Danio rerio: one gene and its partners. The protein of the gene in region 1 interacts with the protein of each later gene in a pairwise test. Links are inferred from orthologs where the notes say so. Each region holds a gene or a part of one and is shown in the gene's direction. Other genes may lie near its edges.

The links.
Region 2: the proteins of fam161a (region 1) and kifc3 interact in binary tests that used the Homo sapiens proteins (3 or more experiments, as listed by UniProt). The link is inferred for Danio rerio from reciprocal best matches to the Homo sapiens genes FAM161A and KIFC3.
Region 3: the proteins of fam161a (region 1) and dhx32b interact in binary tests that used the Homo sapiens proteins (3 or more experiments, as listed by UniProt). The two-hybrid records come from large-scale screens. The link is inferred for Danio rerio from reciprocal best matches to the Homo sapiens genes FAM161A and DHX32.
Region 4: the proteins of fam161a (region 1) and ccdc57 interact in binary tests that used the Homo sapiens proteins (3 or more experiments, as listed by UniProt). The two-hybrid records come from large-scale screens. The link is inferred for Danio rerio from reciprocal best matches to the Homo sapiens genes FAM161A and CCDC57.
Region 5: the proteins of fam161a (region 1) and cdr2a interact in binary tests that used the Homo sapiens proteins (3 or more experiments, as listed by UniProt). The two-hybrid records come from large-scale screens. The link is inferred for Danio rerio from reciprocal best matches to the Homo sapiens genes FAM161A and CDR2.
Region 6: the proteins of fam161a (region 1) and zbtb8a interact in binary tests that used the Homo sapiens proteins (3 or more experiments, as listed by UniProt). The two-hybrid records come from large-scale screens. The link is inferred for Danio rerio from reciprocal best matches to the Homo sapiens genes FAM161A and ZBTB8A.
Region 7: the proteins of fam161a (region 1) and cep70 interact in binary tests that used the Homo sapiens proteins (3 or more experiments, as listed by UniProt). The two-hybrid records come from large-scale screens. The link is inferred for Danio rerio from reciprocal best matches to the Homo sapiens genes FAM161A and CEP70.

Annotation. Positions count from the first base shown.
Region 1 is NC_133176.1:57,130,454-57,133,190, reverse strand, and holds the end of fam161a (protein FAM161A), read left to right. Parts: intron 1-72; coding exon 73-391; 3' UTR 392-2,237; downstream 2,238-2,737. UniProt on the Homo sapiens protein: Involved in ciliogenesis.
Region 2 is NC_133193.1:48,507,794-48,511,953, forward strand, and holds the start of kifc3 (kinesin-like protein KIFC3), read left to right. Parts: upstream 1-1,360; 5' UTR 1,361-2,235; coding exon 2,236-2,538; intron 2,539-4,160. UniProt on the Homo sapiens protein: Minus-end microtubule-dependent motor protein. Involved in apically targeted transport. Required for zonula adherens maintenance.
Region 3 is NC_133192.1:34,050,585-34,054,084, forward strand, and holds part of dhx32b (putative pre-mRNA-splicing factor ATP-dependent RNA helicase DHX32), read left to right. Parts: intron 1-314; coding exon 315-693; intron 694-1,427; coding exon 1,428-1,655; intron 1,656-1,900; coding exon 1,901-1,994; intron 1,995-2,222; coding exon 2,223-2,372; intron 2,373-3,500.
Region 4 is NC_133187.1:35,270,541-35,274,728, forward strand, and holds the start of ccdc57 (coiled-coil domain-containing protein 57), read left to right. Parts: upstream 1-1,388; 5' UTR 1,389-1,689; intron 1,690-4,188. UniProt on the Homo sapiens protein: Pleiotropic regulator of centriole duplication, mitosis, and ciliogenesis. Critical interface between centrosome and microtubule-mediated cellular processes. Centriole duplication protein required for recruitment of CEP63, CEP152, and PLK4 to the centrosome.
Region 5 is NC_133178.1:62,630,171-62,633,625, reverse strand, and holds part of cdr2a (cerebellar degeneration-related protein 2), read left to right. Parts: intron 1-226; coding exon 227-772; 3' UTR 773-3,455.
Region 6 is NC_133192.1:26,253,666-26,257,165, reverse strand, and holds the end of zbtb8a (zinc finger and BTB domain-containing protein 8A), read left to right. Parts: intron 1-2,240; coding exon 2,241-2,561; 3' UTR 2,562-3,063; downstream 3,064-3,500. UniProt on the Homo sapiens protein: May be involved in transcriptional regulation.
Region 7 is NC_133197.1:12,315,363-12,319,643, reverse strand, and holds the start of cep70 (centrosomal protein of 70 kDa), read left to right. Parts: upstream 1-1,481; 5' UTR 1,482-1,586; intron 1,587-2,875; 5' UTR 2,876-2,889; coding exon of another isoform or gene 2,890-2,898; 5' UTR 2,899-3,094; coding exon 3,095-3,163; intron 3,164-3,263; coding exon 3,264-3,363; intron 3,364-3,645; coding exon 3,646-3,769; intron 3,770-4,281.

The DNA of each region.
Region 1 (2,737 bases):
ATTATATAAGTGATCAGCCAAACTGCTCCTAAGCAGAAATCTCAACTTTTTTCATTACTTTTTCCATGGCAGAAACAGACTTGAGGATGATGAGGATCTTCCGGACATGCAGGATTCTCTTCTCGATGACTATCCGGATGATTATGAGGAGTATGACCATGACATGGAGACAGAACTTGTCGATGGAGATGAGGAGCGGAAACACAGCGAACATCATGACTACGGGGATGAGGAAAAGGATGATGATGATGATGATGATGATGATGAGATGCAATTTGATGATGATGACTGTCAGGGGGATGATGACATCATCAGGAGGCACAGTCAGAGCAGCAAGGGTAGCGACAGAAGTGATCACAGCAACAGGAGTAGAACAGGTAGTGTTAATTAGTTAACTGCAGCGGTGTAAAGTAACAAATTACAAATACTCAGACTACTGTAATTGAGTAGTTTTTCCTCAGGAATTGTAATTTACTAAGTAGTTTTTAAAATGTGTACTTTCACTTTCCCTTGAGTACATGTGTAGTGCAGTATCGGTACTTTTACTCCACTACTTTCCCTCAACCTGCAGTCACTACTTTATTTTTTCCTGTCTATGGGGATTAGAAAAATCAGTCCTGTGATTCCTGTCACACATAGAAAGTAAATCATAATGAACTACCTCAAGACATGGGCGATTTATAATCACAGCAAACTGTTTGGAAGCATTAAAAGTGTCCAAGAAGATATTCAAAACCTTTACAAGTATTGACCCAGAGACGGTTTAGATGCATGTCACCGATGAGAAGATGAAAAATGTTTACCGTATGAAGACCGAAATGGTCTTAAACACCCAGCAGGCATCAGACGTCAACATGACGTCATCATGGGGACGTTACACTTTGTTTGGAAATGAAAATCGGGTTGACATCTGAACCCAGCGTCAGGCCAACGTCAATTTCCAGTCTAAAATCAACCAAATATCAACGTCTAATGATGTTACAGCTTGACATTGTGTGGACGTTACCACTTTGACGTCTATCAGACATTGTATTTTGCTTGCCATACCTGACGAATAAATGTCAGTATTTGATGTCAATTTGACGTTGATTTAAGATGTTAGCTTGACGTTGGATTTTGATAACTTTCTAACACAACCTAAAATCAACCAAATATCAACGTCATTTAACATTGTTATTGGACATCAAAATAACATCCTTAGACACTGGCTAGACATAGAATTTTGCTCAACTGACATCACAACCTAACTCTAACCTAATATTAATGTCATATGACGTTGTGTTCCTGCTGGGCAATAACTAAATGCACTACAGAATGTTACGTTTACACACATCCACAAATTACTGTAAATTGCTTTTTACAGTGTAATACTCACTATACTCTTGAAAGGGCTACTTTATAATTATTCTTTGAGTAATATTTACAACAGATACTTTTACTCTACTTGCCCTACATTTTTAGGGAAGTAGCCTAATGGTACTTTAACTTATGTATGATTTTTCAGTAATCTGTCCACCACTGGTTAACTGAAAAGACAAGTGTGAGGATCAGGAAGGTGATGAGAAACAGAAATGCCCCTAGTGGAGAACACTGGTATTTTCCTAAATATATTATTAGATGTTTGGGACATATTTTAAGTCATTTTCGTATTTAAGCCAAGCAAAACCTCAGTAGTAAGTTGTTATTATAGGCATTTTTAATAAAGTGAATCTCATAAACCTGTCACAACCAGGTAACAAGTAATAATAATAGAAGTATTTAAGAGCATGGGTGTACATTAAATAATAAAATCCTCTATTAAGCAATTATAAAGAAAAATAAACTAGCAGTCACTATTAAAAACAGAGATAATTAGCACAACCCTCAAAAGTTTAAGATAAACATGATTAACATACTTTGGTTGGAAATGTTCTGTATCATCCTGCAATGCAGCAAATCTTTTTAAAATAGTGTATAAATGTAATTAATATAGTCTAAATGTTATTACTTATTTCTCGTTTTGTTTGAGGCAGAATATGACCTCGACGTGTTTGCAGCTTGTTCACTTCATACACAGTAATGATGAACATATCATATATGTAAATATAAATGTCTATCAACTCATCAGATATCTTTTAAAAAGAGCCAAAAAACTGTTTTATGATGTGTATTACCAATCAAAAGACTGTGTTTGCATGTGTGGGAATGCAAATGTGTGAAAATAAAACTTAATACGTGAAAATAAACTTTACAGCATATTCATTCGTTCTCTATTTACTTCTTAAATATAAACACGCACATATAAAACATTTTAAACATGAGCCACGGCCTAAAAATACACATCATGGTCAGTTACTGTTTGTACATCGCAGGCAACATCTCAGTAATTTTCCATGCTCCACGCGGTCCAGCCCACCTCACGCTCACGCTGTGATGCAAAACCCGCCTTGCACATGAGACCAAGGGCAAAAAGACGCGCTGGGTGGGGTTTACCCTGACATACAGCGCTGTAAGCCAATCACACGCGAAATAGCAATCCGCGCTGCCCCCTCCGACCAATCAGCTGCTGAAGAGGGCGTTTCTGCAGTCCGAATTTTACGCGGCGCTACGGGCTGAAAACTAAACCGAGATGGAATATGCCAGTCTGAACCGGTTTCAACCGGTCTTGCGTGTGATGCATGAGACTGGCGAGGAGCTGGGTCACAGTCTCTCGCAAATATCTGCTTACAAAACAACGGTTTTTCTACACGAGACTAAC
Region 2 (4,160 bases), on another chromosome or scaffold:
TTTTCAGCTGATACTTCACAAACACACACACACACACACACACACACACACACACACACACACACACACACACACACAAACACTATAGGGACTTATTTTACATCTTGTTTAAATGAGTGTAAGAGGCCCCCTTTGAAGAAGAGAATATTCAACTTGTATCATCATTTTGGTATTGTCTTATATACAGTTGAAGTCAGAATTATTAGCCCTTGTTGATGTTTTTTTTCTTTTTTAAATATTTCCAAAATGATGTTTAACAAAGCAAAGACATTTTCACAGTATGTCTGATAATATTTTGTCTTTTTGAGAGTCTTATTTTCGGCTAGAATAAAAGCAGTTATTAATTTTTTAACTACCAATTTAAGGACAAAATTATTAGCCCCTTTAAGCTATTTTTTCCGATAGTCTACAGAACAAACCATCGTTATACAATAACTTTCCTAATTACTCTAACCTGCGTAGTTAACCTACTGTAATTAACCTAGTTAAGCCTTTAAATGTCACTAAGCTGTTTAGAAGTGTCTTTAAAAATATCTAGTCAAATATTATTTACTGTCTTCATGACAAGGATAAAATAAATCAGTTATTAAAAATGAGTTCTTAAACCTATTATGTTTAAAAAATAAAATAAACAAATAAAAAATAATAATAATCAATAATAATAATAATAAAACAGGGAGGTTAATAATTCAGGGGGGCTAATAATTCTGATTTCAACTGTATATAAAAAAAATTGTTGTTTGTTTGTAGTTTTCTGTTTGTAGATTTGCCCAGCCCTGCCACTTTAGTTTGAGCACTTACTTCTATACTGGTTAATTTGGTTCGAACAGGCACTCTTGTTGTTTTCCCTTGGTCTGAAGCATGTGAACGGCCCCTAAAAAGGGTAATGAACCAGAAGATGGCCTTTTGTTTGTCTTGCGCACACACTTCAAACATGATTCAATTTTTCCCCCCTGAAGTACCAGCACAAGACAGCGCCGATCTTCTATGTCCCCGAATCCTAATTGATCACTCTAGATTGGCACTGTCAGGTCTCACTGCGCCACATTCCCATAGTTGTCTGTTTCCATATTATGTTCTATCCATTGTCACACAGCAGGAGCATGATGGATGGCTTTGTAGGACGCAGTTCAACAGGGTCATCTTACCACGGAGGCGACCAATCACAGACCAGCTTCTTTATCCTCAGCAGTGCATTTAAAACATGTTTTGAGTTGATTTTCCTTATTTTGCATAGATGCAAACACTGTTGTTACATCATCGGCTAAGAGACGCTTAGCTGTCCGACTGCAGTGACAGATGGACACAATGAGAAAAGGGAGGGCGAAAGAGTGAAAAGCATTTTCTCTCTCGGAGTTATAGGACTACACCAGCATCGCAGGAGTTGGATGGGTTATGAATGGTTGGAGTTTGCCCAGTCATTTGGACCTAAAAACGGGGATAAAGACTATCAAAACAAGGCATTATGAAAGGAGTGGTCTGACCTGTGAGTTTTGTCCTGCAATCCAGTGACTGTAAAAATACAATAAAACCATTACTGACGCAAGTGGAGGTGATGATTTGTCAAAGTGCCAATGGAGATTACGACTGAGAGTTTCATGGTTACTCTTTCGATCGAATTTCACTGGAATACACCTGTAATCTTCTGGAAGATCTCCAAAGAAGAGGCGTGCAGATGGGGAAGATAAGCACCTAAATATTATGTATCCTGATTAAAGAAGCATTTATCATGCTGTTGGCTTACATTGTTTATCAGGCGATATCTTTATAGACGTGTCCAGGTAGGTTAAAATGGCTTTGTGGGGTTTAAAAGCAGATGTGCGGTAGTCGTCCCTCCCTCATTCTCTCTTGAACGAGATTGGGAGATGAGAAAGCCATCTCATTTGCTGATCAGATCACAGACAGATTATCAAGCCTAAGTGAGAGTTCTGGAGCTCGAAGGTGTTGGAATAACACGGTCTTACCTTCCAGGAGTTGTTGTTTGAGTGAAAACAGTGGTGGGAAGACATGCAAGAACTCAACAATACTTGATTCTAAACTGGCTGATCACCTTCACGTCGACCGATAAAGCTCATTGCTGCGCAATTCGGAAGAGTTTATATTACGACTGTAACTTTAACCAGAAGATAGTGTTCAGTGCTTGCGCTCACCCTGAAATGGGATCATCCAGAATCGCTTTTAAAGGATACTCCGTCTAAATGTGTGTGTGGAGACGTCTCCAGTAGTCAAGCCAGCATGTATGTTCTGTGCACCTTGGTGCTGCTGTCTCTTCACAACCTGTTTAGGAGACCCCGAGTCCTGGATCCCGTTGAACCCAAAGCTATCGAAAGCCCAGAGAAGCACAAACCAGATGTAGGCAAACACGGACGCAAGAAGAGAAACAAACACCACATTCCTGGAAGTTCTGGACCACTAGAGACTTCAAGAGTGCATGGGCAGAGTGACGTTGATAGATGCCTTGACGGATTCAGCAGCAGAGCGAGTAAAAGAAGATCTGTTCATCAGGATAATGTGCTGGAGAGGAGGAAGATAGCACAGGTGAGCGTGAACATGGAGGTTAAAGTAAAGAAAGTTGTTAGTTGAAGGCTGTTTGCATTGCAGCCATCCAGTTTAATGTTCACTGTTAACGATTTTTGTAAATTACACAGTATTTAGCTGTAATGTGAACTGTATTTTACTGTAGGACACTCATGCAGTATGTTACTGTATTTTAATGCTGCATTGTGAAAATTAGTGTATATTCTACAGTAAAGATTTACATTAGGGTTGGGCGATGTTGACCGATTTGGCATCGTACGATGTCTAATGTGAAACATCGTGATGGACGATGGCATCAGTGAATCATTTATTTATTCATAACAAATTAATAATTTGTAGCCACCCGTTGCGACTACCTGACCTGCATAGTCTTTGTTTTATACATAACCAAATCATAAATGAATAAAGATAAATTACACATAAATGACCAACCGGTCAATATTTTTTTTTGCGGGATTCTGGCATGAATAGGCAGAGTGATCTGTGTCATTATAATGGCGTCGAAAAACTTGGTTGGTAAAAAAAAAGGTGCACAACCAACAGGAACCATCCAACAGTATCTGAGGTTTAAGCTAGAATTACAATTTACTAAAAGTACAAGCGTGAAAGCGAAAGACTGAAGCAGTGTACTGACGCTGTGTTACCTGATAGATTCAAAAGACAGAGGAGTCGTTAGATAGAGACAAGATTAATTAAATATCAAGTTTAACATCTATAAGATGCAATCCAGCGGTACATCTTTAATAAATTGTCCAAAGTGCACTGCTCTCTGGGATTTTGTGCTCAAAGCACCCACTGACTGCCTAGAGCTCAGACGTGCGCAAATGCTGCAGCACATGCCATGTGTGTTCAGCAGTATGTTTTCAGAAGTGCTAGATAAAACGCCAGTGGATGTGGATCGTTTTCGTTCTAAAATGCCATTTTAATACTAAGATGTATTGGTCTAAATGGGGCCTGAGTGTGTAATTCTAGCGACGGGGGCGGGGCAGAGGATGTTTCTCGGCCTTTGTCGATCGACGATGGCATTGCCTATTGACCCAAAACTATTATACATACATATCTGTAAATACAAGATAAATGGTGCTGTAAATGTAAATACAGTCTATTTGCTGTACTTGATTTACAGTAAGTTACTGGTAAATTGCTGCCAGTATGTTACTGTAGATTCTGCAGGGAATTAAGTGTTGTTTTTGACCGATCAGTCCTCAAGCTGGAAGAGTGTAACTGATGAGTCTCTCTGCTACTGGAAAACCTCCATTTAATCCAAAATGCAATTATTTATTCATTGATTTCTTCTCATTATTTATGTGCGTTGTATTATTGATTTGAAGAAACCTTAGACGGCTTTAAGTTGAACATATTCCTTTTCTGAGTGTGTGAATTTCATCAAGTCTACTGGAGCTATTTTAATCAATCAAGTGCGTTTTTCTCGACTTTTCATCCTTATCCAGAATTTCTGTGATCAGCTGCTTCTGGTGGGAGTAATTCACTATGGGAACATTTTGTAAATGTTCTTTCTGCATAATACACACAGGGATTTTCATTTACCTGGAATCATGTTTATCCTCCCAATGTCCCATTTCTAATGTTCTCTGCAGTCTGATGGATCGTTTTAGCAGATC
Region 3 (3,500 bases), on another chromosome or scaffold:
TAAAATGTCTAAACTAGAATATATTACAATATTTTCCCAGTATTGTGCAGCCCTACCATACCATACACATGCTGGTTTTCATTTTCGAAACTTTTTAAAAATGGCGAACAGACATTTTGTTGGTAAGTGGTCGAAAGAGCATTAAAATCTCAATGGTGATTGTCTGTGAGCTAAACAGTAAGGGCAGTACATTTTGTATATTCAGATTTTTTATTAAAACAGCGTCAGTCTGGGAAAGACATCAAAAATTGGGTCTGACCCGGAAAACAGGGACATCTGGTCATCGTACTGCAATGACATCTGTTGCTTTGCAGATACTGCACAGATGACGTGCTGCTCCGGGAAATGATGTCAGACCCTCTGTTGGAGCAGTGTGGTGTGGTGGTCCTCGATCAGGCCCAAGAACGCACCGTCAGCACAGACCTGCTTCTCGGACTGCTCAAAGACGTGCTCCTGACGCGGCCAGAGCTCCGGCTGGTCATCCTCAGCGCTCCGCACTCCTCAGAGAAGCTGCTGAGACACTATGGAAGTGTTCCTCAGATCAAGCTGGAAGGACCACAGCCATGCGAAGTGCTGTTTGGTAGTGGGAGAGGAGGAGTGAAGGATTACCTCTGCTCTGCTCTTAGACTCGCTCTGGAGATACACCAGAATGAAAACCATGGAGACATTGTGGCATTTCTGGCAACTGAGCAAGTGAGAGACATTTAAACGTTAAATAGATGAGACAATGCTGGGCATTTACAGGTGTTTACGTTTTCGTCACATTTTTTAAATATTTATTCTTTATTTTATTAGTAAACAAATTAATTTGATCAAATAGAAAATAAAAAAACATGTAAAAATGTTTGATATTGATATGTTATATTTCTTTATTTTTAATAAAAAAAATGTAAAAAATATATTTAAAATAAAATAAAAATTGATAAATAAAATAGAAATTTCAAGATTATTTTTAGCATTATTTTATTTATAAAATAATTAAGAAAATTTTGTTTGTTTTTATAATTTCTAATGATTTGACATTTTTGAATATATATTTAATATATTAATAATAATATATTTAATCAGTATAGTTTATGAATATATTTAAAAAATCTATAATATAATATAATAAATTTTAAACCTTATAGAAGTTAATGCTTTCTTTTTGTTTTATATTTTTAAATGGAGATTTATTATAAAAATTCTAAAAATTATACATTTTAGAATTAAAATGGTAAATTACAAATTATAATATGTATGAATTAAATAATTGATAATATTTGATATAAAATAATATAAAAAAATTATATAATTAATTATTTATAAATAATATAAATAATTAAATAATTATAAAAATTCTTAAATCTAGTATACTGTAGAATAACAAAAATAAATAAATAAATTCTATGGTAATTAAAACTTTTGTTTCCCGTTTTATTTTCAAGGAGATTGAATGTGCCCATGCCATTTTGCGGAGAGAGGGTGCCAATCTCGCTCTGTCTCATGGAGAGCTGGTGCCCGTGTCTCTGTGCCCAAGGCAAGGTGACAGTCTCTCACTGACTGAGGAGAGCAAAAGCAGGAGAGTCTTCCTCACCTGCAGCCCCAGCGAAGATCTCTTCTGGGCCCTTCACACCATTCGCTTTGTGATTGATGCTGGAGTGCAGAAAAGATATGTACGTAGCAATTTTGTTTTTATCGGGACTTTTACAGGCTAGTCTTTCCTTTAATTGTGTTAAGTACTCTTGAGTGAAGGTCAAAATGTAGTATATGTAGTAATTATACCAAAAATACGTTGAAAGTGCTATACTTCATATAGTTCAGTACTACTTGAAATTAAATTGGCCGCTAAGTTTATAATCAGCTCCTTTTTTCCTATTTTGATTGGTGGCCATAAAACAGTGATGTTTCATTGTGACAGGTGTACAATCCCCGAATCAGAGCCAACTCAATTGTAATTCGACCAATCAGCAAGAGCCAAGCTGAGAGCCGCAAACAACTCGCAGGCCCAACAGGTAAGCACCTCTTTCTACATTTGTAAGAAATAACTAACTTCTAAATAACATTAATGCATTTGTAAAATTGATTAAATATTTCCAAATGCTGCTTAAAAGACTCCTTCAAAAGAAAATAAAAAATACAAATAAATTTTAACAGAAGTGTACTACTTAAAATAAAAATGTTTCATCCAATTAGTTTTTTCATGCACTGAATCCTAAGCCTGACATTTTCCATTTCTGCAGGCAAGTGCTTCTGTTTGTATCAAGAAGACACTTCACTTCCTGCCGAGAGCGTCCCACACCTTCTAGAGTCTGACATCACTTCCACTGTGCTTTTCCTAAAGCGCATGGAAATAGCTGGTTTGAGCCACTGTGACTTCATTGACAGACCAGGTGAGATCCTTCTTATACAACAGTAACGTTGACTTTAACTATTCTGTTAACGGTAATGGAAAATTATTGCTGAATAAACACTACTTACAGTAGCATAATTTAACTGACCAAACTTTTCTTTAATTTGCAATATTTGATATTCTTCTGCACAGTTGGCAGTCTCACATGAAAAATGCTTGTGTTTCTGGCAAGCGTGTTAAGTATAAAAGTCTTCACAGGTCTCAGCTGTGCAACCACACTCAGTGGAGGCTCGCGCTAAGGGCACATATCTCATAGCACATAGCTCGCGACACAGACTCGTGCACACACAGCTCATAAGCTTGCGGAGTGAATAAAATGGGTTGTATTTCCCAAGTGGACAGCGACAATGCCTGTTGCAACAAACGCAACAAGTTATTGTCTTGTATAAGCGGAAACGCAAGCAATCTGGTATGTAAAAGTATCTTTCAAAAGTGCTTTAACTGCAAAAAGACAAATTAAAAGTTTTTGACTGCCTATCAACTAACGGTAACATTATATCATCCACATCGTTATGCCAGCAGTCAATAACCTCAATTAGTATGATATTAATAGTTAAATAAAAACACACATTTGGTTACAATGAAAACAGTATTTTTTCTGCTTCAGTAGCATAAATAAATCTTAAACATTAAAAATGCTTTTACATCAGCTGCATTTACAAATATAGCCTGTAAATAGTCTAAAAATAAACTATGCTTATTAAGAAATTATTTAAAAAAAACTGCTTATTTTTACATTGCAAGATGCTCCAGAACTGTATAAAAAACACAGTTAACTCCCAAAACACTTTTAAATCATTTATGTGAATGTGTTAATAAAAAATCACAAACATTATCTCATTTAACTGCATTTTGCATCTCAAAGAGGGTGTGCAGGGAGCACAATAAACCAAGAAAGATCCCGATTTCTGCCATAAAAGGCAAACATGTCTACTTTTCTTCAGAAGAATGGTTAAAAACTTATTTTCCTTCAAACCATTAAAAAAAAAATTTTACAGGTAAAAAATATAATTTGTTTTACAATTATTGTTTTTGTTTTATTTTACATAAAAAATGTAAAAATAAAGTGTTGTTAATTCTGTTACATTTTTTTTTGTGTGTGTGTAAA
Region 4 (4,188 bases), on another chromosome or scaffold:
AACGTTGCACTATGGAGGCCCCAGGGTTTAAAAAAAGTAACACCGTTAAAATCTTAATGCTTATAGTCAAATTTCACAACATATGATAGAAAATTTTTAAAAAGGGGCTGTATAATTAATATAGGTTTCTTGGCACTGGTTGTGGCCCCCTAATTCCCCAGGGCCCTAAGCGGCTGCTTATTGGTTAAGTCCACCCCTGCATATAAACTGAATCATCCACGGTGTATAGTAAAAGTTATATTCAATTTAATTTTTTTTTCATTATATTACATAACATAATGTTTTCCAGTGTGGGTTTAGTTGGCGGTTCATTCCGCTGTGGCAACCCTAGGTTAATAAAGGGACTAATCCGCAAAGAGAATAAAGGAATGTTACATGAATATAAGATTATAATAGAATGAATAATAAAAAGTATATTTTAGCATATTCATTCACAATATATTCTATTCTACGAAACAGTTTTTACAAAAACAGTTATATATATATATATATATATATATATATATATATATATATATATATATTTTTTTTTTTTTTTTTTTGTATAATTATATTTAATTATATATAATTATTATATATTGTATATATATTATTGTCATGACCCTAATATACAATTTAAAATCTGTTTGGTAGTTTAATAATGTCATATAGACAGCTGATGGTTTTGCAAAAAAAACAAAAAAAATTACTGAACAGGGTTTGAGTATAAAATAATTATGTAAAAAATAATTTTATCTAAAAAAAATTATTTATATATGGAAATAATTATGATCGCACAGTTTTAAAATGTATTTAGCATATACATTTATCTTATATGTGCTTAAAGCACCCTTATGATAAGAGAATAGGCATCATTTCACCAAATTAGAACGTGACAGCAGGCAGGTAGAAACCACGTGAATCAGGTGTCTTGTTTCATGTTGCGTCAGCTGCTGTTGTGCCGTCTGTACGCCTCAAGAGAAGTTATATCACTGGGTTGAAAAAAAATTAAGTCTTAACTTGTCATAACAACTCTGGCAGGAAGTACACTATGCAAGCATACCAGACGTGATACACTTACATAGTTAAGTGCTTTGTCAGTGTATACATAACATTTTGACCCAAACATAAATATATTCAATATCAAATTACATAAACTTTCCACTTAATTAAATTTAATTACATCCACTTATTAAACACGTTTCATTTCAAACAAATACCCCATAAGAATTTTATAACTTTACGGTAAGCATGCTGCTTTTATAGCAGGGAAATAACAGTCATGCATCCCAGAAATTGAGCTTAATCAGAAGTGAACTCGTAATTTCCGCTTTTCTAAATAAGTATATGTGACGTCAGGTTGTAAACGCGGTAACTCATCCAGCAGCAGAAAAGGATGTTGTTACTCTGCTGCCATGGAAACGATCATAGCTGTGGGGGCGCAAAGCTTATGCTTGTGCTATGCTGCTTTAGCTTGTTAGCTTAGCTGACCCATAGAGAGCTGACCTAAGCATCAACGAGAACAATTTTAGACTTGCAGCAAATTCCCTTTAGTCTGTAATTGTCGCGTGCTTTGACCTTCGCAGAGTTTTCGTCACCTCTGTTTATTAATAAACACATCAAATAAAGCGTTTGTTCGCTGTGGCTTGTATGCTAACATGAGGAAATGCATGTATTTTCATTCATGCTTGGGCTGATGTACACATTAAGGTAAACTAGCAACTATTATCACTCAATGAAATCAATCGAATCATGTCGAAATACTTAAAATGACTTATTTATGTACTTTTCTGCTTCTTGTTTTCGTGTGAGAGCGCTAAAAACCTGATTTAACTAAATTTGATTGTTCAGTGTTATTTGTTATTTATGTTGTCATCATTATGTTTATACAAAATGGAAATAATATTTTTTTAGTGTTAGAAAGTTTGAAGACGAACATGAATGAAAGTGAAAGCCAGAATATTAAATGTTATGTATGTATATTTACAGAGTACCGTTAATCTAGTTTACTAGGATTACTGGGTAACAGTTAATCCTCCTATGTAGATCATGTTTAAAATTGCACATTTTAATATCTGGAAATGGACATGTATGTCTTTAAAATTGAAGACAAAAAAAGAAAAGTTTATAAAGAGCCAAAGTATAAAAGTATATTAATGTACAGTTGAAGTTAGAATTATTAGCCCTCCTTTAAATTTTTTTTCTTTTAATTTTTTTTTCCTAATGATGTTTAACAGAGCAAGGACATTTTCACAGTATGTCTGATAATATTTTTTCTTCTGGAGAAAGTCTTATTATCTTTATTTTGGCTAGAATAAAAGCAGTTTTAAATTTTTTAAAAATCATTTTAAGGTCTACTACGCTGCATAAAATGCTTTTCTTATTTACATCTTTTATCTTGTTTTTTAGGCGAAATATCTAAAAATCCCTAAACCAAGTAATATTTTCTTGACAAGAAAAATTATTGACTTGTTTTAAAAAAATAATATGCCAAAATTAAATGAGTTTTTCCCTAAAATGAGCAAAATAGTCTGGTGAAATGGTGAAAGCAAAATTATCTTGTTTTTCCTTTTGTCACAAGATTATTTTGCTTACCCCATTGGCAAATTATTTTGCTTGTACTAAAAAAAAAAAACCTTAATTTTGGCATATTATTTTGTTTTTAAATATTTGGACTAGAAACAAGATAAAAAAAATCTAAATTAGAAAATAATTTTTTGCAGTGTATAGAACAAACCTTTGTTATACAATAACTTGCCTAATTACCCTAACCTGCCTAGTTAACCTAATTAACCTAGTTAAGTCTTTAAATGTCAATTTAAGTTGTATAGAAGTGTCTTAATATCTATGAAAAATATTATTTACTGTCACTATGGCATAGATAAAATAATTCAGTTGTTTGAGAGGAGTTATTAAAACTATTATGCTTAGAATTTTGTCACTTCGCAAGATCTGCAATGTTGAGTCTAAATCATAGTTGACTACAGAACACGTGATTTGTAATGTCACTGTTAAGTTTAATCATAGTAGAGTGAAAATTTAGTAAATATAAAAGTATAAAGCATGTTTTTTAAGGCCTGTGACTGCATTTAAAGAGGATTTAAAATTTGGGCACAAGAAATTATGAAGTTTGGAGGTGTAAAAAAAGATTAATTGATTTTGTTATTTATATGATTTATATAATAAACAATTGTACTTAGAATTTTTGTATTGTTTCTAGTTCAAATATCTACATTTTAAAGCAAAACGTTTTTTGTTTTTTTTGCATACCCAATTTTTTTACATACCCCATTGGCAGATTTCTAAAGGTGGAAACAAAACAATTTACTTGATCTGATTTTAATCTTTAGATATTTGTACTTGAAATGAGACAAAGAAAAGTATTTATTCTAATTTCTGTACCTGAATACTGTTAGACTTCCCAGAAAAAGAAACATCATACAGAGCTAGTCAAACCATCTTGTAAAACGGTATTCATATCACTATATTTAACGTAGAAAAATTAAATACTGTAATATAAGATTTTTCCAATATCGTGCAGCCCTAGCCCACACTAAAAATAGTTTACAGTTTGATTATTTATTTTTCTTCAGAAAAGTAAAGGTTATTTATTTAATATAATAATATAAAAATTTTTATTTGGATAGTACACTTATACATATTTCAAACTATCACTTAGTAACTATGTGCCAACAAACTCATTAGAGTATATAGTATTAGCACAGTGTTGCACTAGAATTAGTAGATCAAGCCAAAATGTGGTTGCAGAGTTACTTACGTTTAGCAGAATATCAAATATATATCAGTATAAAATGTTAGCAGAATTAGAGTTCTCTGGTCGAATAGACACAAATGGAAGGCAGCTAAATTTAATTTCAGTCAGTTACAAGATGTGTCAATAATGACTTTTAATTTTTAAATTATATATATATATATATATATACAGTTGAAGTCAGAATTATTAGCCCCTCTTTGAATTTTTTTTTCTTTTATTCTTTTATATTTCCCAAATTATGTTGAACAGAGCAAAGAAATTTTTGCAGATTTTGAGATAATATTTTTTCTTCTAGAGAAAGTCTTATTTGTTTTATTTCAGCTAGAATAAAAGCAGTTCTTAATTTTTTAAAAAGCATTTTAAGAACAAAATGATTAGCCCCTTTAATCTATTTTTTTTCAATAGTCTACAGAACAAACTATCGTTATACAATA
Region 5 (3,455 bases), on another chromosome or scaffold:
TTTGTTTGCACTCAGTGATGTTGAATTTGAAATGAAATGAAACAAAAACATGTGGTTGTTGCATAGGCTAATGATGTTTTCTGCAAATGACCAAAGTATTTTTATGAGCTGAAAGGCAGAATGCGAGTGTTTTCATCAAGCTCGACATTATATAACAGTTTCAGGTTGGGTTTTAGTGTTTGTAACATGTGACACACATTGTGACATGCGGTTTCACTTTTGACAGGCGGAGCTGGAGGCCGAGGTGGAGGAGCTGCGTCTGCTGTGGCGCTCCGAGTCTTCCAGCTCCAGACTGACCGACACGCTGCTGCCTGACAGTGTTTTCTTCAGTGCAGAGGAGCGGCTGGGGGTGGAGCCTGAATGTGAGGAGGAGGCGGAGTTTCCTCAGGGGCGCTGCCGCTGCAGCAGTGATAGTTACGTCAGAGGAGCTCGAGCGGAGGAGATCCGGCGTGGACACGAGCGCTCCTGCATTCGCAGAGCTCAGGCCGTCAAGCAGCGCGGCATCTCTCTGCTCAATGAGGTGGACGCTCAGTACAGCGCCCTGCAGCTCAAATACGAGGAGCTGCTGCGCCGCTGCCAGCACGGGGCCAACAGCCTCAGCCATAAAGCCGTCCAGACGCCCAAATCCCAGAGCTGCTCCGCCACAGACACCGCCTGCCTCTCCGACCAGCTCCATCAGCCCGAGTACAAAGCCCTGTTCAAAGAGATCTTCACCTGCATTCAGAAGACCAAAGAGGACCTGAGTGAGAACAGGGCTTTGCAGGCCCAGTAAGGTGTGGCTGTTTTAAAGGGGGAGTTCACCCAAAATTCTGATGAAATTCTGTCACCATTTACTCATCATTTGCTTGTTGCAAAACGGTTTGGGTTTCTTTCCTCTGTTGAACACTAAGGAAGATGAACTGAAGAGTGCTGAACAGAAAAGAGGATATCTTGAAGAATGCTGGGAAAACATCCATTGACATCCATAGTATTTGTTTGTTCCTACTATGGATGCCAATGGCTGCTTTTTCCCAACATTTTTCTTGTTTTGCGTTCAACAGAAGAAGCACTTGAGTAAATTATGAGTAAATGGTCATTGTTTTTGGGTGATCTGTCCCTTTAAGTTGAGTGTAGTGACTTTGCACTTGCTAATGTGATTTAACAGTGTGTTTGTGTGTGTGTCTATTGCACTATAACAGCTGTGCCTATACACAGTATACAACACCAAACCGTCCACATCCAGAACCTGAATGGTCTGAATGGGGTTTTTCTACTTTTATACGTCTTACTCTAATGAACGACACACACAAGCTGTGTGAATCAGCCATACCAGACGCCTGAGATACATCAGGTTTGGAGGAAGACTATTGTTATTAGTACTAACAACTACATAACACAGTTATGGAACTAACTTGATGTACATGATATACCATAATATTGGTGAACCTCACACAAGCTGCTAAAATGAGGTTTTACATCGAAAAATACAACAAAAACAACAAAAAAGCAATTGACATTGTAAATTTGAGCCAGTTTTTTAGGAAAATTTAACGTTTTTGTTGTTGTGTTTGAAATTACACGTTATCTTCATGACGAATGCCCCTAGTGCTGTGGCAATCATTTGGAGGAATGGATTTTACGATTGCGAAGTGCATTTCTATTCTATCTTGAATCGGCTCTGAGCTTAGTTTTCAACAGCAGATGGCACTCTAGGCTAGTATTTAGCAGCAGACAGGCTAGCTATAGCAACACACGGCATTCTGGACTAATTTTGAAAAGCCTAGAGCACCCTCTAATGTTAAAAATTAGCCTACATTTCCCATCTATTGTTAAAAACTAGCCTAAATCGCTGTCTAATTTTACAAACTAGCCTATCTGCTATAGCCAAAATTGCCATTTAATGTTAAAAACTAGCAAATGCTGTTAAAAACTAGCCTAAATCGCCATCTTATGTTAAGAATTAGCCTAAAGCCCCTTCTATTGTTTACAACTAGCCTAAATCGCTGTCTAATGTCAAAAACTAGCCATCTGCCGTTAAACAAGCCTAGAGTCCAATCTATTGTTAAAAAAATAGCCTAAGTTGCCATTGCTAATGTTAAAACTAGCCTATCTAATGTTAAAAACTAGCCTAGATCGCAGTCTGCTGTAAAACAAATTGCCTAGAGTGCCATCTACTGTTTAAAAAAAATTAGTCTAGAGTGCCTTCTACTGTTAATCTAACATTAAAAAACTAGCCTAGAGTGCCATCTAGTGTTAAAAATTAGCCTAGAGCACCACCTAATGATTAAAAACTAGCATAGAGCACCATGTTTTTTAAAAACTAGCCTAGAGTGCCATCTAATGATTAAACACTAGCCTAGAGTACCATCTAATGTTAAAAAACTAGCTTAGAGTCCCATCTATTGTTAAAAACTAGCATAAATTGCTATTTTTTAAAACTAGCCTAGCTGCTGTTAAAAGCTAGCTTAAATTGCCATTAAATGTTAAAATCCAGCCTAAAGCCCCCTCTATTGATAACAACTAGCCTAAATCGCAGTCTAATGTTAAAAACTAGCCGATCTTCTGTTAAACAAGACTAGAGCACCATCTAATACTAAAAACTAACCTAAAGTTCAAACTATTGTTATAAAAATGCCTAAATTGCTATTGCTAATGTTAAAAACTAGCCTATCTGATGTTAAAAACTAGCCTAGAGCGTCATCTGCTGTTAAACACTAAGCTCAAAGTTGATTCAATCGAGAATAATGCATTTAGAAAATCTTAGAATGGGTTTCTCCAATTTTTTGCAACAGCTTTATATCCCCAATTCTATTTGCATATTTAAAAAAATAATAATCTAAATGCCATTACATTAATGCACAAATTAAATTTGTAAAAAAAAAAAATATCTGAGAAGTATTTAATGCGCTAATTTAAAATCTAAGATTGTGCGAGAAAACACTGTTACAGGAATAATAGTAATAAAAAAAAATTGACAAGCTTTTTATAACGGAATATGAACCAGATATTCTTTTATGAGAGTCATTTGATAAACATTAGAAATATATACGTATATAAACAAAATGGAATTCAGTAGGACCGTGTATGTAGCCTTAGATTTTAAGTGTCTAGACATTTCACATGCAATACTTATTAACTTATAATAGAAAATGCTGCATGTGATTTCGATGACGTTACTAACGGTGATCTCTTGTATTCGAGCAATACTGTTTGCTGTTTTGCTGCTTCTTTACCTCAGTGCTTTGATATGCTAGCGGAATCAGCTCCTGTCAATGTAAACGATATGCTTGAAAATCTGTGTAAATAGTTTGTTCGGATCAAATCGTGGCTCTGCGTTCGCAAACACACTCACTCTAGCTAATAGTCTCAAGCACTTTTTGTTTTGGCGTTCATGTAAACACCACTGTGATACTATGCACTTTAGACAGACCTGTGGTCAGTTTTTGGATTTTTGAGTTACGTTTTTATTTATTTAT
Region 6 (3,500 bases), on another chromosome or scaffold:
TCCGTTCACACCTCCACATGACATCCTGCACTGCTGGTCAATAATTCACATCTTGTAGAAATATGCTTATATGGCAAGCTGATTATATGATTCATTCATTTATTTTCTTTTCGACTTAGTCCCTTTATCAATACGTGGTCGCCACAGTGGAAGGAACCGCCAACTTATCTAGCACATGTTTTACGCAGCGGATGCCCTTCCAGCCGCAACCCATCTCTGGGAAACATCCATACACACTCATTCTTTCTCATACACTACGGACAATTTAGCCTAATTATCCAATTCACCTGTACCACATGTCTTTGGACTGTGGGGGAAACCGGAGCACCCAGAGGAAACCCACACGAACACAGGGAGAACATGCAAACTCCACACAGTATTGCCAACTGAGCCAGCCGAGGCTTGAACCAGCAACTTTCTTGCTGTAAGGCGACAGCACTACCTACTGCGCCACCGCGTTGCCCTGACTATATTATAAATTCTGCTAAATGACTAAATGTTATTTAAATGTACTTATTTTTCAGATACTTGCAGTGTCTGGTCTGATCTGTTCTGATGTCTGATCTGTTTTTTAAAAAATTATGTTAATAATTAAAATAATAGACATCCATTTGACCACCTCATACCATTGTGAATGCATAATCGCACCAATTAGTCTAACACCAGCAGATTTAGAGCACAGATAGACACCGTAAACGTTCACAAGACATGGAGAAAACAATGTGTTCTCATATAATAGGTGTTGGTTTCTAGATATTGCCTAAAAGTAGCGTAAGATTAGATGCATTATTTGTATAGTATGTCCTAAAATAAGCCGAAATACCTAATCAGGTCAGAATACAGTAAATAGCCTATCCCACAAATCACTTAAAACGCAAATTAATTTTATGAATAAATTAGATGTAATTCAAATGATGAACCCATACATTTTACTCACTGAAGCAGGAATTACGCAAACTAACATTACCAAAAATGTTGACTCAACCTAAAATTTTAAGGGAACAAACTTCAGGACATTTTTAGGTTTTGCTATGCTCAAAATGCTTCATTTACTCAAATGGATTACATTCACAGTACTCATTAGGGTTAGCTTAAATGGTTTGTTGCAATCGGTTTCAAATGGTTTGAGTTATTCTAACTTATTGGCTTTACAGTGTAAAAATAAGATACCTGTATCTAATGAGAAAGTATTATTCATTCATTTTCTTGTCGGCTTAGTCCCTTTATTAATCCAGGGTCGCCACAGCAGAATGAACCGCCAACTTATCCAGCAAGTTTTTACGCAGCGGATGCCCTTCCAGCCTGGGAAACATCCACACACATTCACACACACACTTACACACTACCCACAGCCTACCCAATTCACCTGTACCGCATGTCTTTGGTATGTGGGGGAAACCGGAGCACCCGGAAGAAACCCACACGAAGGCAGGGAGAACATGCAAACTCCACACAGAAATGCCAACTGAGCCGAGGTTCGAACCAGCGACCCAGCGACCTTCTTGCTGTGAGGCAACAGCACTACCTACTGCGCCAGTGTCTCGCCCAAGAAAGTATTAGTATTTATTAAATAAATTAGCTTAAAAACAGTAGTATTTCATTTTAAATATTAAATTTTAAAATGACTTTCTATATACTTCAACAAAAAGGGTTTTGCTGCTTCTACAAACTTACTTACTTAAAATGAGCTGAAAAATCACAATTCTTGAGTTTTTGGGGACAACTTAATTGTTTTATATTCAATCCGCCTAAATTTGTAAAATAACAAAGTTAATGTAATCGATTTGTGTTGGGACAACATGAAAGACTTGTGTGAAACCTAGTAAGATTTTGACAAAGACTTTTTTTACCCCATTGAACACAATATATGTTATTTTAATAAACTTTTTGGAACAGTAGCTTTTAATGTAGAGGTTCCTTTTCTGCTGGAGATACTGTTACTAAAAACTAAATACTTTTACTAAAAAAATAAAATAGTTGTGTAAAAATAAAAAACGAAAAAAATCTTTCATATACCTTAGGATTGGTATAATAGAAAACTTTGGTGTTTAAAACCTTGACTTTTTTTAAACTGCGGTTAACCTTGAAACCGGTTATCATCCTATGCCTAGTGGACCCCCAGCATTTTTTACAGTACAATGTAGTACATTAGTATTTGGCTAATGTTTCTGTCCATCAAATGAATAATTTAGATTGACATGAGATCTAAAATACACCTTCTCCATTTATCACACTGACAGATTCATCAGGCCCGTAAGCTGGTCTGCAGGAAGTGTAAGCGGCATGTAACTGAAGTCAGTGGACGTGTGGTCAGTGAAGGGACCCGCAAATACAGGCTCTGTGACGTTTGCATTCAGGAGAGCGGCTACAATGATTTAATCACAGATGAAACAGATGGAAATGAGGACAAGGAAGGCCTGTTGTTGGGTGTGGACGAGGACATGAGTGAAAACAGGCAAATTACATGGGTCATGGATGATGATGATCTAGCGGAAGATTCTGGAGCCGATCTCATAATCCAGGAAGTGGACGACAGCGACGAGGAAGCAAGTGGAAAGTGATGATAGATTTGTGTGTGATTGTGTGAATGGGCAGAGCTGCCTTATTGGCGGTTTAAGGTCTGTTGAAATTTCATAAGGGAATCTATGTGCGTTTTTGTACAAATAAAACACTTTGTCTTTTAAAAAAATATATATATAAAGTATTAAATATTACTGCTTTTATAAAAGTACAAGTATATTTCTGTAATTGAAAGTATATTTAGCTTATTTCAAGAAGGCTTTTATGGGCACGATGACAGCGTGATCAGTTATTGTTGATACAGAGCTGATCTAATGGAACTTCACTCTGTAATTCTGCCAGATTTCTTGCTTTGACTTCAGTTTTCAGACTTTAGTCAATGCCAGGGCTTACATATATGATTTTATGTTTTATGCTGCATGGAGTCCAGGCGACCTACTTTTTGTGATGTGTAACAGACTCATTTATTTATTTTCAACAAAACAAATTATCAGTCACAGGCCAAACATAAACAGCGTCTAAATAAAATATTGTATATATGAATGAATGTGTTTATGCTTCACTCTGGATGTGTCACCTTTTGCTATTTGTCTTGCTTTTGACATTCAATTTATTTGTGTTTCGATTTATTTGGACAAAAGAAAATATATTTTATACACATGCAATGTGCGTATGAATCGTCATTTACATTATACCCACATAAAAGAGGAGAGTACGTTCACACATTCCAACATTTAACACAAACCCTAGGAATTTTTCACTTTTTGAGCAAACATTGAGTTCCTTTCAGTGCATTGGGTATGGCAAGCTCTGTTAACATTAACTTTTAACATTAAGATAACAGTATCTTCATAGACAAATTATTATTTATTAGTGCATAATATACTGTAGCACAATATGATAGATTATATATTAATATTTAAAATGAGATCTAGTGTCTATTTAATAAGTAAAATAATCTTAGAAATTTAATGACTGAA
Region 7 (4,281 bases), on another chromosome or scaffold:
TAACGTTAATTTTGCTTAATAACTGCGCTTATTACTGGGTGACAAGCTGTTTTAATACTGTAATTTCTATTATATATATATATATATATATATATATATCTAAGACATATATATTATATGTATCTCTAATACAACAACATTATATATTATATATATATCTCTAATACAACAACAAACTCTGTTTGATTTAAATGTTAACGCTGTGGATTTTTTATTTTCTGCAACCTCCTGCGCGTGCATCCTGAATGTTTACAAACATGGTAATTCATCTATAGCAGTGGTTCCCAAACTTTTTTCACCAAGTACCACCTCATAAATGTTTTTCCTCTCCAAGTACCAACATAATGACCAGTATTAAAATATAGTTGTGTTGTGGGCCTAATTAAGCAGCTACAGCTGTGCACAGTTAAAAAACGAGGCAGATTATTTCCTATTATTATGAATATGTATAATTGTCAGCCAATTTAAACATTATAAATAGTGTGAACATTAACTGTGCTTGCAGGTTAAAAAAAAAAAAAAAAAAAAAAGTTTTACTTAAATCTAAAGTATTAACATAGTAGCCTATTCATCAAAACATGGAAATTGTTGCTTGGACCTCATAAATATAGGCTATATGTCATTGTCACATTCATACACTTATGAAATATATGTTGCAAGTACATATGACAGGGTTCATACAGGCGCTTAATGAAAATCAAGGACTTTTAAGCACTTTTTCCAGCACCTATTTTTATTTTCAAGACTGACACGCAACATATTGAAACATTGGTCCAGTAATTTTCCTATATAATATAATAGTAATTATATATTTACCTATATTGGTGATAAAACCTGCTTGGAAGTTCTGTTGATGTTTTCTCACCATTTGCTCATATACAGCTTCTGGAAACCTGGGTGAGGAAAACTGGCTTTACAGACACAAACTGTTTAAACAAAAAGATTCCCAAAAGTTCTGTCTCTCTCTCTCTTTCTCTATTTGCAGACGGTGCTGAGATTTGCATGCTGACCTTCATACGGAGAGCTGCCCTTTACACAGCATGCAGCAAAAAGAGCAACACAAAATGCCACAGAATCCGTAAATTTTGAAGAGCAGTATCTGTGAAGTGAGATTAGAGGCTTAGTAAATGCTGTCTGTTCAAAATGACTAACCTGAAAGGATGTTTTGAAAGATTGTGGAACATATCTGCTGAAGTCTTGTTTGCCAGTTATGTACATTTTAATATGTAATTACATTTAGTTGCACTAAAAATGCCAACTGTTCATAATAAATATTTTACAATGTATTTACATAATAAGAGTCTGGTAGGGAGCCCATATTCAAAAGTTAATTCTTTGCATCCATCTGGTGGACATTTGTTGTAACACCACTTTTTCTTAAGAGGGAAACGTCAGTACAGTGGCGCAAACTACGTTGTAGGCGTGGCTAGCTCATTCAGTTCTCCCATTGGTCTAAATCCAGGAAGCACTTCGTCGGTGTCAGTTTCCGCTGTTATTTGAATCAATAAACACACTCGAGTTTTCTTGTTTATAAAACGATAAATTGAAGATTTAATTGCTACAATTTAGCTCGTCTGTGGTTTAAGGTATGATTTAGAATAATACTGCTCAAAACACTTAACGTAAACGAAATGTATTAGCCGCGTTTGTAGACCTTATTTTTCATGTAGCGTTTTCAGTGTTTGTATGTTGTATCTACCGTGTGCTGTCACGTTTTAGCCCCTTTTATTAATGTTTCGCTAACTTTGTGGCCCCTAAAATTATATTAACTTCTAAGAATGTTATACTAGGGTTTTTATCTTGGTGAACATGGTAGTATTGTGAGTTATAGATCGAGTTATAAGCCAAAGATTGTGTACACGTTTTACAACTTAGCCCATGTTTTCACTCAGAAAATGCGTGTAAATCTCGCAAAATAGCAAGTTATATTAAACATGAAACGTCGACGTAGATCTATAGAGTTATACAGTAAACAAAGATTGTGTACGTATGTTTTACAACGTTGCCCTGTTTTATGTTTTCATTCAGAAAATGCACGTAAACCTCACAAAATAGCAAGTGTTACATTCAATTACAGATGAATCGTCAAAGTAGATATATTCACATAGTTTTTCTTATTGTAAAATCTTAAACAACATACAAAACTCCTACCAAAAAAGGTATTTGATGGTATAAGCACGCAATACCTTGCTCGGAAGTCACAAACATTACATAAATAGTATGCTACCTAACTAAAGTATTCTTGCTAGCAAATTTCAGTTCACTTCAAATGCATTTTTTATTTCTGTTTTACAAAAATCTCCATTTAAAAATAAAAATCTGCCAATGACATGTCATTTTATTAAGTTCAATTCAAGTGACCTTTATTTGAATAGCACTTTTACAATGTGGATTGTGTCAAAACAGCTTCACATAAAAGATCATAGCAAATTGAAATGGTGTATTTCAGTTTTCAAAGTTTAAGTTCAGTTCAGTTTAGCTCAGATCAGTGTTTTAATAATCACTACTTAGTCCAAACACTGAAGAGCAATCCATCGATGCGCAGGTCTACAGATCCCAAACCATGCAAGCTAGTGGCGTCAGCGGCGAGGAAAAAAAACTGCACCAATTGGCGAAAGTGGAAAAAAAAAAAAAAAAAAAAAAACATTAATTCGGTTCAATTCAAGTTTATCTGTGTATCGCTTTTCACAATAATTATTGTTTCAGTTATAATATATTACTACATTACAGTTTAAATTAGGACAGTTATGATATAGGTTGGACAGTATATAAACATTGTTAAATTGGATTTATACAGTATATAGTGTCCTTTTAAAATGGTAAAGTGCAATTTCAATAAAGTGCAAACTCAGCATCTATGTGTTTTCTCTTACAGGGCTTCTGATCGGGATGGAGCAGGTGAGCCCTTTTGTCTTTCCAGCGTGTGGAGGTGTTTCTTATTGTTCTTTGGGATAGTAATCTGATCTGGGTCTGTTCCCTCCATCTGCTGTGGGTGGACAGACCCTGATCAAGTCAGACAAAAAGTAGAAGATACAAGTAGATGCTTAAAATAGTGCAATAGCTCATCATTCATTTGTGATTTTCACTGACGAGCATGGATAGACAAGCTTTGCAATCCAGGGACAAAACATATGTGTTTTTGTGGACCTACAGCCAGTTTCAGGTAGCACAAAAGTGGAGATTCTGATAGTTTTACAGTTGTTTCTCCATGCATTAGTTTATTATTGTTGTTAATGCACGCTGCATATGTCATGCTTTTGCAGGAAGAACAGAGAGAATGGGACGCTGTAAACAGGTTGCTGCAGCATCACGGGTTTAAACCTGTCAGCTTTGCAGATCCAAAGGAAAACAAGAACCTTGCAGGTTATCTCATTTTAATAATTTGTTGCTGCAACTATGAAAAAAATGTAATTATTGGATTATTAAAGTTTGAAGTTAAATTATGGGATTAAATTTATTAACACATTTCTAATATGATTTTAGTCCTAATTTTTGCGTTTATTTTTTATATTTATTTTATTTTTTTAACTGTTCGCAAATATTATATCTTTCAAGTATACAATAAGAATTATAGTAGTTTAGATATTAGTCATTGACAATAACTGAAAAAAAGAACTAATGGTGATACTTGTTTTGTGTTTGTAGAGTTGGTTTTGTTGGAGCGAAAGTCTGCCTCTGATGTCCGCTTGATGTTGAAGACGATGCTATCGGATTCTGAAAGGAGACAAGGTTTAATTCAAGAGCTCATTCAGTCCAACAGCCAGTTAAAGTGAGTCTAGCTTTCATTATTAGTGTAACATGCCTTTAGTGTTGCTTAGAGGCCAAATATGTTTTAAAAGTTAAATAAATTCGAAATAATTTTATAATTATTTGTAATAAATATAGTTTTTTTAAGAAAAAAAAATTCAAATATCAGTATATGTGTGTGTGTGTGTATTTACTACTTGTATACAAATATCTTATTTTTGTCACCAAAATAGAATGTTTTACAGAATGATTTATAACATTTTAGATTATGACAAATCAATATTTCCTTTAGTTCTTGTTACTATATTACTGTAATACAAAAGTGAAAGTCACATTATTTTGTTATAATATTACTGTTTTTATTGTATTGATAAATATAATTGTCAATAAATCTGACAATTATATTTTCGTTATTGTCTAAATGAAGGTGTGTGTGTGTGTGTGTGTGTGTGTGTGTGTGTGTGTGTGTGTGTGTGTGTGTGTGTGTGTGTTTGTGTACACACAAACAATAAATTAAAAAATAGTTGATGCATA